3 linked regions of the Coturnix japonica genome follow. The protein of the gene in region 1 purifies or fractionates together with the protein of each later gene. This does not show direct contact. Links are inferred from orthologs where the notes say so. Each region holds a gene or a part of one and is shown in the gene's direction. Other genes may lie near its edges. The genes, in order: PRMT8, EWSR1 and HNRNPU.

Region 1 (4,449 bases):
CATTGTAGAGGTTCGCTATCAAGCTGTGTGGCACATGTCTCTGTAACATTCTCTCACATTCTGAAATATTTCATACAACACCATTGTATCCTACATGTCATATTCTCACTGTCAGTTGACATACCAGCATGTTACATACTTTAGCTTCTCTGGGTTTTATTGCATATACATGAATTATATCATGTCTGAGGACAGCTCTGAAAGTAATGCCTCCTATTTTATGATGTTGGTCAACAATATTAGAAGTAAATATTGGTGGTATGTCAGTAGAGGTTGAATCTTCCTACCAACGTTTTGTTAAATTCTATTTCCATGTGAAACAGATGGCAGCAGAAGGACAGTCTAACAAAATAGCACCTGACTGGGAAGCGTGTATGAGCAAAGCTGCATAACTGAATTCCTTCATGTGGGAAGAATTGTACTCAACTGACATTCATCAATGCTTGCTGAACATTCATGGAGACCAAACAGTGGATGCTAGCACAGTGAGGTGGTGGTGTGTTTCAGCAGAGGTGACAGTGGCAGTAAGTTACCTCCACTGGTGCAGATTTTTATAAGTGCGGTATGTAGGCTCTAGTTTATCATTGGTGAAAACGCATAACTGATCATGGTGAATGTATAAAAAAAAAAACCATTTTGTAATTGCGAATTTTCTCTAGCAAATAATCTTACTGTGTTTTTTGTATCTGCTGTAGTTTCTATGGAAATAAATAGGAGGCACTTCTTTCTGAGCACCCTATGTATTTTATATGTCACCCAAGACAATTCCTCATCACCACCATCACTTTTTGCGTAGCCCGGGCAACGCAAAAAAAGGCTGGGTACTCATGCACTAGCTGATGATAGGTCAGTATTGTAGTGGTCAGCTCAGGATAAACTCTAATTAAAATACTTAAAAATAGACTCTAGGGGACAAAAATTCAACAAATTCAAATTTCTCTCTGATGTAGCATCTGAGTTGGATATGTGCTTAAAATAATGCACTGAAAGCAATCTTTTCAAGTCTCCATTGACACCTGCAGAGGAAATGATTTCAGACTCTTCAGAGAGCAGCAGTCTTGCTCTGGTCCTTGAAATCTTGCAAGCTACACACACCCACACACCAACATTATTTCCTCACCTCCTCTATATAAAAACAAAACAAAACCATGAGAACAGTGGGCTGAAAGTCGAGCTGTGGAATATGAAGTTGAAAGGATTAATTATGTAATACACCCCCTCTCACCCTTGCTCACAGCAACACAAGGGAGGTAAAACCAAGAAAAAACAAAACAAAACAAAACATGTCTGTATGAGAGGGACAGAAAATGAGGGAACATGCTTGTATATGAGAGGGAGTAGGTAACAAGTTGGGGGGAGCTTGACATAGTGTTTTTCCTATGAAAGACGTGTAAATGCAATTTTCAGAGACGAACAAAAAGTATTTCTCAGGAGGAGAAAGGGTCGAGAAAATGAAGGATGGGATGAGTGATGGGGGGGAGGGGGGAGGGAGAGGATGAAAAGGAAAAGGGGAGGAGAAGGCAGAGGAGAGGGAGGAGGAGGGGAATGAGGGAGAGAGAGGGAGGGGTGAAGGGGAGGAGAGATTGGGGAAGGAGAAAGGAGAAAGCGAAGAGAAAGGGAAATGGAAAGGAGAGAGGAGGTTACCGTACTTTTTCATGGAAAGACAGTGGCAAATGTGTGACCATCTTTAAAAGAAATTTTCTGAAGACCCAGAGAGAAAGAAGTCCAAAAAAGGAAAGTAAGAGGCTATGTTTTCCTTGTTCTGCTGTTTTATCTCTGCCTCCCTCTCTCTCTGGAAGATTACCCACAGGACACAAAGATGCCGAGCTGGTCCCTGCATGCACAAGTTCAGTTCAGCTGGTGCTTCTCTCCTGTTTAGCTCGACAGATTTCTCTGAAGGGGTGGACTCACAGACTGACAGCCCATTAGTTTAACCTGAAGAGTGCGTGCCACCTCTCTGCCCATTCCCAAAGCTTGCTGGAGGTGGAGGTGAGAGGAAAATACTTGAAAGTGCCAAGGAGCTCCTGATGCCAAAAGACGACAAATAGTCTCTTGGGTGAATTAGAACGGACAGAGAAGACTGATTTATTGCTGTTTTCTGTAGAAGTTTCCTCCCTTTGGTGAAAACCTGTATTTGGAAATCTTTGAAAACACAAAACAAAATACCAATCTCGAAGCCCCAACCCCGTGGTTAGCTCTTATGGGAATGAAACACTCCTCCCGCTGCCTGCTCCTGAGGAGGAAAATGGCGGAGAACAGTGCCGAAAGTACTGAGGTAAGAACGCAAGTCAAAGCCTGTAACCCAGTTTCCCCAGCCCTGGGCTCCCTCAGCAGAAGCAGTAATAACTGACGATGAACTTTCCTGAGTCCTTTGGCTTGTCTGCCTCTTTTGTTATGATTTCCTGACTGCGCTTCTCTTCCCTTCAGACCCCCCTCCCCCTCCCCTCACTCCCTCCCACTCGCCGCCGTTCACTGCTGTTAGAGAACTTTGCTCCCGGATGGACTGTCTAGTCCCTCGGGCAGCTTCCGGGAAGCATCCGTGGTATGACTTCTTCCCCGGAAGGCTAGGTGGGTCATTGCAGGCTGGTTGGAAGAGACGTTTTGTGTCGTGTACCGTGAAAGGGAAAAAAAGAGGTTGTGCGGCGCTGAGTGGGGGGGGAGGGGGCGCGGGGGAGGAGGAGGCTGTTACTGCATGTTTGAGGAGGCTGACAGGGATTTTTGTACAGCACCTTGGTCAGCTCCTGGTGCTTTTCAACTGAAACGACGCAGTGTCAGGGCTGCGTGGGGGTGCTGAGAGAAATCTCCCTGCAGCACCCGGATATCACAGCGAAACTGCTTGAGCACGGTTCGGGGACAGGAAGAGCATTTCCCCAAGCGCCTGTCTGACCTGAGCTTCCTTCAGCCTTTTTTTTTCTCATTCAGCTGCAACCCTCATTTGCCTCCTTGGAGCTGTCTTGATCTCGCTGAGTCTTCTTAAATTTTACAGAAGTATGCAAAATCTCAGCTCTGAAAAAGTAAAAGATGCAGGATGTAATCTCAGTTTCTTTGGGAACCTGTGAGAAGCAGACAGGTGAATGTGCAAATATGCGCCCATTTCTATTAACAGACTATGCCTGAGACTGGCTGAACATTTAACATATTGTTAAGCTATATGCAGCATAGCCATATGTGGACCCCCAAGGACACTGTACCCTAATTAAGTTCAACTGCATTGTCCTTGTATGCACAGATGATACTGGCTCTCCTCCCCATTGCCCTGCAGATAATAAAGAACAAAGCACCACTCCAGGGTGAGTGAGCATGTGACTGTTCCCTCCTTTCTCCTTTCAAGGTCTTTGCTAAATGTCTCCTGCTTTCAAATAGTCCTCACAGTAAGTGCTCTGCACCTTTATGAATCCAACATTACTCCTTGTATAGTGTTTCCTCTGTTAAGAAATATGTGTCCGATGTACATAAATATACCTTATTTGCTATGCCATGTGAAGAACAGAGCTATCTCAGTAGTTTAATGTGAGCATTAAATCAAAGAGCATACCTAATATTGCATTAAGTAAAGTGCTGTTTGCAGGAGATGTGTGTATATGTAGTATGAAATCTAGCTGCACATCAATAAAACTGTTATAGTACTGACAGGATATATCGCATTAAGTGTCCCAAGTTCCTTGGTGATATTGCAAGGAACATTTCCCATCAAAGCTCTTTTCCTCTATGATCTGTCTTTAGAAAGCAGCAGACAAAAAAAAATTAAAATTCTTTAAATATTGTTCTTGTATTTCAACTCACTGTTAGTACATTTTTATTGCTTAAATTCCTCATCATGTTTGTGCAATGCTACAATGTGCTTTTATGAAGATTTTCTAAACAATGACAATTTTGTGAACTGAGAATGATGAGTGAAAATTGTAGATTAGGTGCCTTCTGCTGTGTCTTAAGAAAACCAAGAGGCATATACTCATAATACCTGCAAAAATATTTCTCCTGTTTTATTAATTTTCATCTTAGTGACTTTAAGTTCTCTTTTGTTCTGAGATGTCTTAGAAATGCACAGACAAAATTTGCCAATACCTTTGAAGCTTTTTTCACTAGTCAAGCATCTATGTTTAGTGAAGCCTTAAGATACCAGTTTATTCCCCTAACATATTTTTCTTTTTCATTTTTCTAAGTTAGCAAATGTTCTTTGACAAAAGGAATGCAGAACAAAGCACCTTACATTTGGATTTGTCATAGTGTAGGAGAAAAATTAGGAAGTGGCATAAATCTCATTTGAAACCACTGGGATTTCACAAATATGCTGAATCTGATGCTCATTGAATTTTCTAAAGTACTTTGATGTGCTGGTGATAGGCATGATGTGAAAAATACTATCTAGAGAGAGAGAGATGAACAGTTAAAAACATTTAACAAATGGTCAAAACATCTCACAACCAAATCATTCCAAAAACCTCATAG
Region 2 (2,933 bases), on another chromosome or scaffold:
TATACCGAGGTTGGAGCGGGAATGTCATCGGAACTGTGTTGTAGGCATCGCGTGTGGTCATCTCCTCCCTTTTGAACTGTTAATGTCAGGGTCCCGGCAGGCTGAGGGTGCACTTTGTGAACACGCCGCAGGGAGGGAGCGACCAGCGGGCAGCCCTGGATCACAGGGATTGATCTGCAACGCTCACGGATGGGTGTCAGTTTGGTTTGGTGGTTGTTTTCTTTTTGCCAAGTATTGCACTGCTAATACCAATACAAAGTAATGGAAGGGTACCGACAGCAAAGTGGTGTCTAGAACCAGACAAGCGAGGTTGTGTATGTAAAGGAAATTTGAGCGAGCTGCCCTGAAGAAAGGCATAGTGACGAGATGAGAGAGAGAGAGAGACAGATGCATTGTTTGGAGATGTTTAGCCAGTGCCCTTCTTCCCTGTGAGCCGCAGAGGCTCAGAGCGGTACTGGCTTTGTAAAGGGAAAGGCCTTCATTTCTTCGTTTATCCCCCCAGCAGCGCTGGAGAGCGAGGTGGCTTCAATAAGCCTGGTGGTAAGTTTTTGAGCATTACAATGGATAGTGTTTAACGGAAAAAAAAAAAAAAAAAAGAATAATAATAATAATAAATAATAATGATAATAAAACAAACCAATTGCAGTCAGTCTGTAGAAAAAAATAAAGTGTAATTTGTCTTAGTTTTAAGTGGTTAAAAATGACGTATGCAACAAGACTGTAATGGGTAGAGCCGGCCATGCCCAGGGGTACGCGGTTACAGGTGATATGGAAGCATTGAGAAACCACTTCTGTAATTGGGGGAAAAGAAATGGTTTGGATTTGATAATTCTTAAGTAACTTTTGGATTAACCAACTGTAAAACGGATTGGCCTGGTAAAGCATTAAGACAAAAAACCAACCCCACGCAATAGTGGTTAATGGATGGAAAGGCTGCTAAAAACAGCGAACCGGTCGCCACGTAGAGGTGCATTGCTGGTGATTGTGCAGTGCGGGTCAGTTGGAGTTTAACCAGCGCCATCGAATGGTGGTTATAAGTAGATAGTGATGTGTGTGTCGCTCCTTCAGCCCGCAGGGCCTGCACTAACACTGCTTCTTATGGTTCTCTCCCGACTGGCAGGACACATGGAGGAAGGACCGGACCTTGACTTAGGTAATTGTCACTGCTCACACCCCTCCCAGGCTGCTGGCGTGGAGGTTTCTGTGCCCATCTCAGCTGGCAGAAGATGTTGCCCCGTATCTCGCCCTCCCATAACCCAAGTACAGAGGTGCTCTGCTGTTTGCAGTCTCTTTGGGGCTGTTTCATCTGATTCTCTATTCCTGGTTCATCAGAGCGCTTGGACTGGTGGAAGCCCACACGTGTCTGTGAGATGCTTGTGCTTCTCTATGGAGCCAGGGGGCTCTTGCCAAGGAGCTGCTGTGTGGCTGCCTGGAGCAGCAGAAAGCACGTTCCAGGCTGCAGCAGTCTGGAGCTTGTAGGCACTTGTCCAGCAGTCTCCTTCCTCCTTATAAGATCATAGAATGGTTTGAGTTGGAAGGGGCCCTTAAAGGCCGTCTTACCCAACCACCCCCTGCAACAAACAGGGGCACCCACAGCTCCATCAGTGCTCACAGCCCCATTACCTGTGGCTGTCTGCAGGGATGGTGCACCACCCACCACCTCAATGGGCAGCCTGTGCCACCCCCACCTGGGGCCCTTTTCTTCCTCCTGCACAGACACATTTGGTAGTTCCCCATCAGCCTAAGGAAAGAGGGGATTATAGCAGCAGGAGGGGTGAGCATCCACATGCGGGACCTGGAGGATGCAGGGGTGTGTTGTGCCTTTGGGTCTCGCTCATGCCCCATTGCAGAGGTCTTGCATGGTGCCCTGGCCATGCTGGGTGGCTGCAGCAGAGAGCTCAGCCCTTAGCACTGCTCTCTGTGCCTGGGGTTTCCTGGAGTGCCTCAGTTCTATGTCGCTTCATAAATGCACTTATTGAGAGAGAAGCTGCAGCTGGCTGAGGGGTGACGTGCTGCTGGATCGCTGCCTCTTCCACTGCCTGACCCTGAGATTTGTCTCCTAGGCCCACCTATAGACCTGGATGAGGACTTGGACAACAGCTCAGTGTATGTGCAGGGACTCAATGATAACGTGACCCTGGAGGATCTGGCAGACTTCTTCAAACAGTGCGGGGTTGTCAAGGTGAGAGGAACGTGTGTGTGCAGGTGAGCACAGAGAAGGGAGCTGGCTGCCTCCTCCCTGCCCACTGTCCCATTCAGCCCCTTCTGTGGAGCCGGGCAGCTCTGATGGGCAGTGAGATCAGCACAGCCTGGAGCTGCCCTGTAGCACAAGCTCCCCAAAAGATCCTCATCAAGCTTTGTCCCTCTGTGCACTTCCATCAGCCATGCAGAAGCAGCAGTGCTTACAGACTCAGGAAGCATCCGTCTGTGGATCTGCTGCGGGTGGGATGTGTGACAGCTTGAGCGCAGGGCGGTGGGGAGAGTGGAGGAGGATGTGGGGAGGCTGCAGCTCCATTCCTGCACTCACAGGAGCCTGCAGGAGAGGCTGCTGGGCCAGTTCCTGCTTTTGGTTGCCATGGGTGGCTGTTGGTGTGGTAAGCCAGAGGGCCATTTCTCTTGCCACGGAGTTGCTAAGTGGAAGTGTTAGCTCAGATCAAAAGCAGAACAGGGGGGAGAGCCCCCACTCGGTGTATACGGGGATGTGTGACTTGTTATAAATGATTTGATGTCCTGCTAGATGAACAAGAGGACTGGGCAGCCCATGATACACCTCTACATTGACAAAGAAACTGGCAAACCGAAAGGAGATGCCACGGTCTCTTATGATGACCCATCCACTGCCAAAACAGCTGTGGAATGGTTCGATGGTGAGTATGGGGTGTGATGTGTTGGGATTGCCCTTCTGCTCCACGTGATTATGGACTCCGTGCACT
Region 3 (3,649 bases), on another chromosome or scaffold:
TTGTGGGAGTCCTTAACTCTCCCAATAACTGACTGGTAGCTACTTCTGATTATTGTATCTAGTAGAAATTTCTGTTACCCACAAACAGTAACTGAAAGTGTCAGCAGGCTGTTGGGAGCACCCCATCAAGCACAGCTTTAAAGAGTGAATTGTATAACAGCTTGGCTCTCTTGACTATGACAATCCATGTATAAGAGGTTTAGTGCTCTTAAGTGCTTCTTGTGTCTTAGAAGAACATTTTGGCTAGAAATTGTTGTGTGTTGCTTTAAAAGTAACCTACACTGTTTTATTCTGCAGATTGCTTTTGTTTGGCTTTCCTGCTACAACTAGAAGTATTAATGGGAATGCTTAAGTCCTAACTATAGCCACAGATGGCTTTGTGCAAACAAGATCTCCTGTTTGAGAATTACCAGTAATACAGGGACAACTGCAGTTTAATATGTGCGGGCATCATGTAGACTTTCTGCTAAGGCGGAAGATACTCTGGTTGCTAATTTCACACCTTTCTTGTAACTGTCAAATAGGTTCAGAGTTTCTTCTGTGGATTCCTTACTCTGGGGGATTCAAGTGCCATATCCTGCACTTCACGTTCCCACTTTGTGTTGTCATTTTGAAAGCTACTGGAAGATAAATCTGAGACTTTACAGTGCAGCAGTCCCGAAGATGTCTATATAACAGAGGTTCCATTTAAGGCTCCTAGGGTTTTGTCAGGATGTTGAGTTCATGCTGCAGATCATGATTGGTTTGGGTTTTTGTTTTTACACGAAATGAGCTCACTTACCATGTGCTGTGTGCTTATCTGCACTTAACTGACTTTATTTTATTGGCTTAATCTAATTGGACTTGGCTAAAGGACTGTATATCTCCTGAAGATGGTACTACTTCCAGTACTTAAACAGAAATACCCGTGTTTGTACTTAGTGCTTTCAGACATTAGGGGTAAGGCTTGACAAAAAGGAATCTAGCAAGTAGCTCTGAGAGCAGCATGCATCTTCCAGATACACTGCATTGGATAACTGACAAAAAAGGTTGAAATAGGTGAGATGGAAGCCAAGTATTTATTAAAGCTTGGGAACTTAGTAGTGGAAGATGGCACCATGCAAATCATGTTTGTTGTTAGTTGCATTTACCTCAGTTCTTTGGCATGTGTCCAGTTGTCCTCCTGCCTTTACCAAATGGCAGCTTAAAATCACCTTAGAAAACTGGAGTCACTTTTAATGCATGAAATGAGAAAGTTTTGCTTTGTTGGTGTTTAGCTTTTCTTTTTTGTGGGTTTGTTTTGCTTTTCTTTTGTTTTTTAAACTGAAGTATGCAATAATTTTTGTTAACAGATAACTGTGACCTGCATTTTAAAATCTCAAGAGACCGGTTTAGTGCTTCCTCACTGACCATGGAAAGCTTTGCTTTCCTTTGGGCTGGGGGGAGAGCTTCCTATGGAGTTTCTAAAGGCAAAGTCTGCTTCGAGATGAAGGTAAGACTTTCATTTTTGTGGGAGGCTGTTTTAGGTGTTAAATATTACAGTGTTTATATTTCAGTGTTAGATGTTAAAGAAAGCATTATGTAATGATGCAGAGAAATGGCTCTCAATGAAAGATGCCTTAATTTGCTAAACTGCTTTCTCTCTTTAAGAAATTAACTTGAAAATAAAGCTGCATTTGACATGACAACGTAACTTACTGTCATAGTTTTAAACAGAGAATTTTAGGCGGCACTTGATGCACCAGAACATAAAGAATTAGAATAGTAGTTGGGAGCTCACTTGTGTTTACTTCATGAAGATTACAGAAGTTTGGATTTACCAAACTTTTGAGTTGGAATGGAAAAGGGCAATCAGCCTTACAAGAAACAGATTCCTCCCACTTGTCAAGGAAGAAAATCAGGAGTCACAAAGTCAAACATCTTGATTTTTAGCAGCGTTAAAGCCTTATTTGCTGAAGATGTGTGTGGACATGTGCTTATTCTGTTCACTTTTTTACTACTTCCAAATGTTAACTGCTCACATATGAGTTGGTAGTGATCCCATTCATTGGTGACTGTAACTCTGGGAGGACAAGAACATGAAACATTGTATTTATTGTCTTGTTACTCTTCAGACTTTCCCTTGGTCACATGACTCAAATATTTGTGGAAACCAGTGGCCTGTGATTTTTTTCCCCACTTAAATTTGATGCTATTTTCTACAAGGCGATTAGAGGAGCTGGTTGCCTCCAGCTCGCAGTGCTCCCAGGCGAGGTTTTTGAATCTGGTTCTGTTGTTTGGTAGTTGGCAATTTGCCTGGGATCTCTGCTTTCTCTGGAAAAGGGTGTAGTATTTCCCTGGGTCTGTCTGGAGAAGTGTTCTCATCTCATGCCACACTTTATTGGCAAAGCAATTCGCTGTTAATCCCGATGTTGTAGCAGAGTTTCTAATTGATTATATTCCTTGCGGGCTGTAATTTTAACGCAGTATCAAGAGGGTTGATATTTTTGACTATCAAGAGAATGCTGTGATTAAGTGCTCTGAAGGTACGTGATGTTTTGCATCTCCGTCAGTCAAGGGATTTGAACATTTAGTGACTGCTTTGTGATTTCACAGGCATGGTTAAGTCTTGTACTTAAGCAAAAAAACTGTTATTTGGACTTGTAAAGATGTAAGCAGAGAATAAAGGTTCTGGATGTTACCATTGCTTCTTTCTTGTTGGGATCTTAGAAAAAAACACTCAATAACTTTTAATGAATAATTTAAAAATAGGTTACAGAAAAGATTCCTGTTAAACACCTGTATACAAAAGACATTGATATACATGAGGTGCGAGTTGGCTGGTCGCTGAACACAAGTGGAATGTTGCTCGGTAAGACCTCAAGTTTTTCTTCTGTGTTATATTGTCTGTGGTTGAAATTTTCCTGTCTGACTAACAGAAAAGCATCTGTAAAACTGAACGATTGTAGCCCGTGTGTTTTGAAAAGGGGTTTTGAGTTATTAATGGATGTTGTGGAAGTTTAGTACTGGGACCAAACAAGGTTAACTATTTAAGATTTTGAGATTATAAGGTTTACGCATAGAAGGAAAATTCGTAGATAATTGTGTTACTATTCTCTTGGAGTTGGGGAGTCTTATTTCTAAACAGCTGGAACAACAAAAAACAACTTCAGTAGATAAGTGGGATCAGATAATTACTGTATTTTTAACTAATAGCTGCTGATGAGATATGTCTGAAAAATGTGTACGAATAGGGGTATTCTGATAGCAGCAACTTTCTAGTTATACGTACTTAAATTCCATCTGAGTTCTTGTGTTTGACGTTTGCTGTTAGCTTGTTCCTTGCAGCTTCATCCTCAGCTGTCGCATAGGCTGAATGTCTGCTAAACTCCCTTTAAAATGGGGAGGGGTAAGTGCTGCTGGAGACTTAATTCAGAAATGCCTTTCTGACTAACTGCATTACAGGTATACTGATTCACAAACAGGTTTTCAGGGTTTAAGAATACTTACTCATGTCTTTAGCTAGAAGTGTTCAGCATTTTGTCACCAAGAATCTGGAACCAGTAGCATAAAGCTTTTAAGGTTAGGGTGAGGAAAAAACTGCTGTTCCATTTTAAATGACACTATTGAATTCTTAAATGCAAGAAACAGCTGTAGCTATTCTGAGGGTGATGACTTGTTTTGGCATCAA

The links.
Region 2: the proteins of PRMT8 (region 1) and EWSR1 purify together in Homo sapiens (affinity purification with mass spectrometry; 3 studies listed by BioGRID and IntAct, counting the BioPlex papers as one, with this or other methods). This does not show direct contact. The link is inferred for Coturnix japonica from reciprocal best matches to the Homo sapiens genes PRMT8 and EWSR1.
Region 3: the proteins of PRMT8 (region 1) and HNRNPU purify together in Homo sapiens (affinity purification with mass spectrometry; 3 studies listed by BioGRID and IntAct, counting the BioPlex papers as one, with this or other methods). This does not show direct contact. The link is inferred for Coturnix japonica from reciprocal best matches to the Homo sapiens genes PRMT8 and HNRNPU.

Annotation. Positions count from the first base shown.
Region 1 is NC_029516.1:68,075,389-68,079,837, forward strand, and holds the start of PRMT8 (protein arginine N-methyltransferase 8), read left to right. Parts: upstream 1-1,565; 5' UTR 1,566-2,200; coding exon 2,201-2,275; intron 2,276-2,445; exon of another isoform or gene 2,446-2,568; intron 2,569-3,229; exon of another isoform or gene 3,230-3,290; intron 3,291-4,449. UniProt on the Homo sapiens protein: S-adenosyl-L-methionine-dependent and membrane-associated arginine methyltransferase that can both catalyze the formation of omega-N monomethylarginine (MMA) and asymmetrical dimethylarginine (aDMA) in proteins such as NIFK, myelin basic protein, histone H4, H2A and H2A/H2B dimer.
Region 2 is NC_029530.1:9,960,514-9,963,446, reverse strand, and holds part of EWSR1 (RNA-binding protein EWS), read left to right. Parts: intron 1-502; coding exon 503-540; intron 541-1,120; coding exon 1,121-1,153; intron 1,154-2,063; coding exon 2,064-2,182; intron 2,183-2,737; coding exon 2,738-2,867; intron 2,868-2,933. UniProt on the Homo sapiens protein: Binds to ssRNA containing the consensus sequence 5'-AGGUAA-3'. Might normally function as a transcriptional repressor. EWS-fusion-proteins (EFPS) may play a role in the tumorigenic process.
Region 3 is NC_029518.1:31,199,371-31,203,019, forward strand, and holds part of HNRNPU (heterogeneous nuclear ribonucleoprotein U), read left to right. Parts: intron 1-1,331; coding exon 1,332-1,471; intron 1,472-2,730; coding exon 2,731-2,830; intron 2,831-3,649. UniProt on the Homo sapiens protein: DNA- and RNA-binding protein involved in several cellular processes such as nuclear chromatin organization, telomere-length regulation, transcription, mRNA alternative splicing and stability, Xist-mediated transcriptional silencing and mitotic cell progression.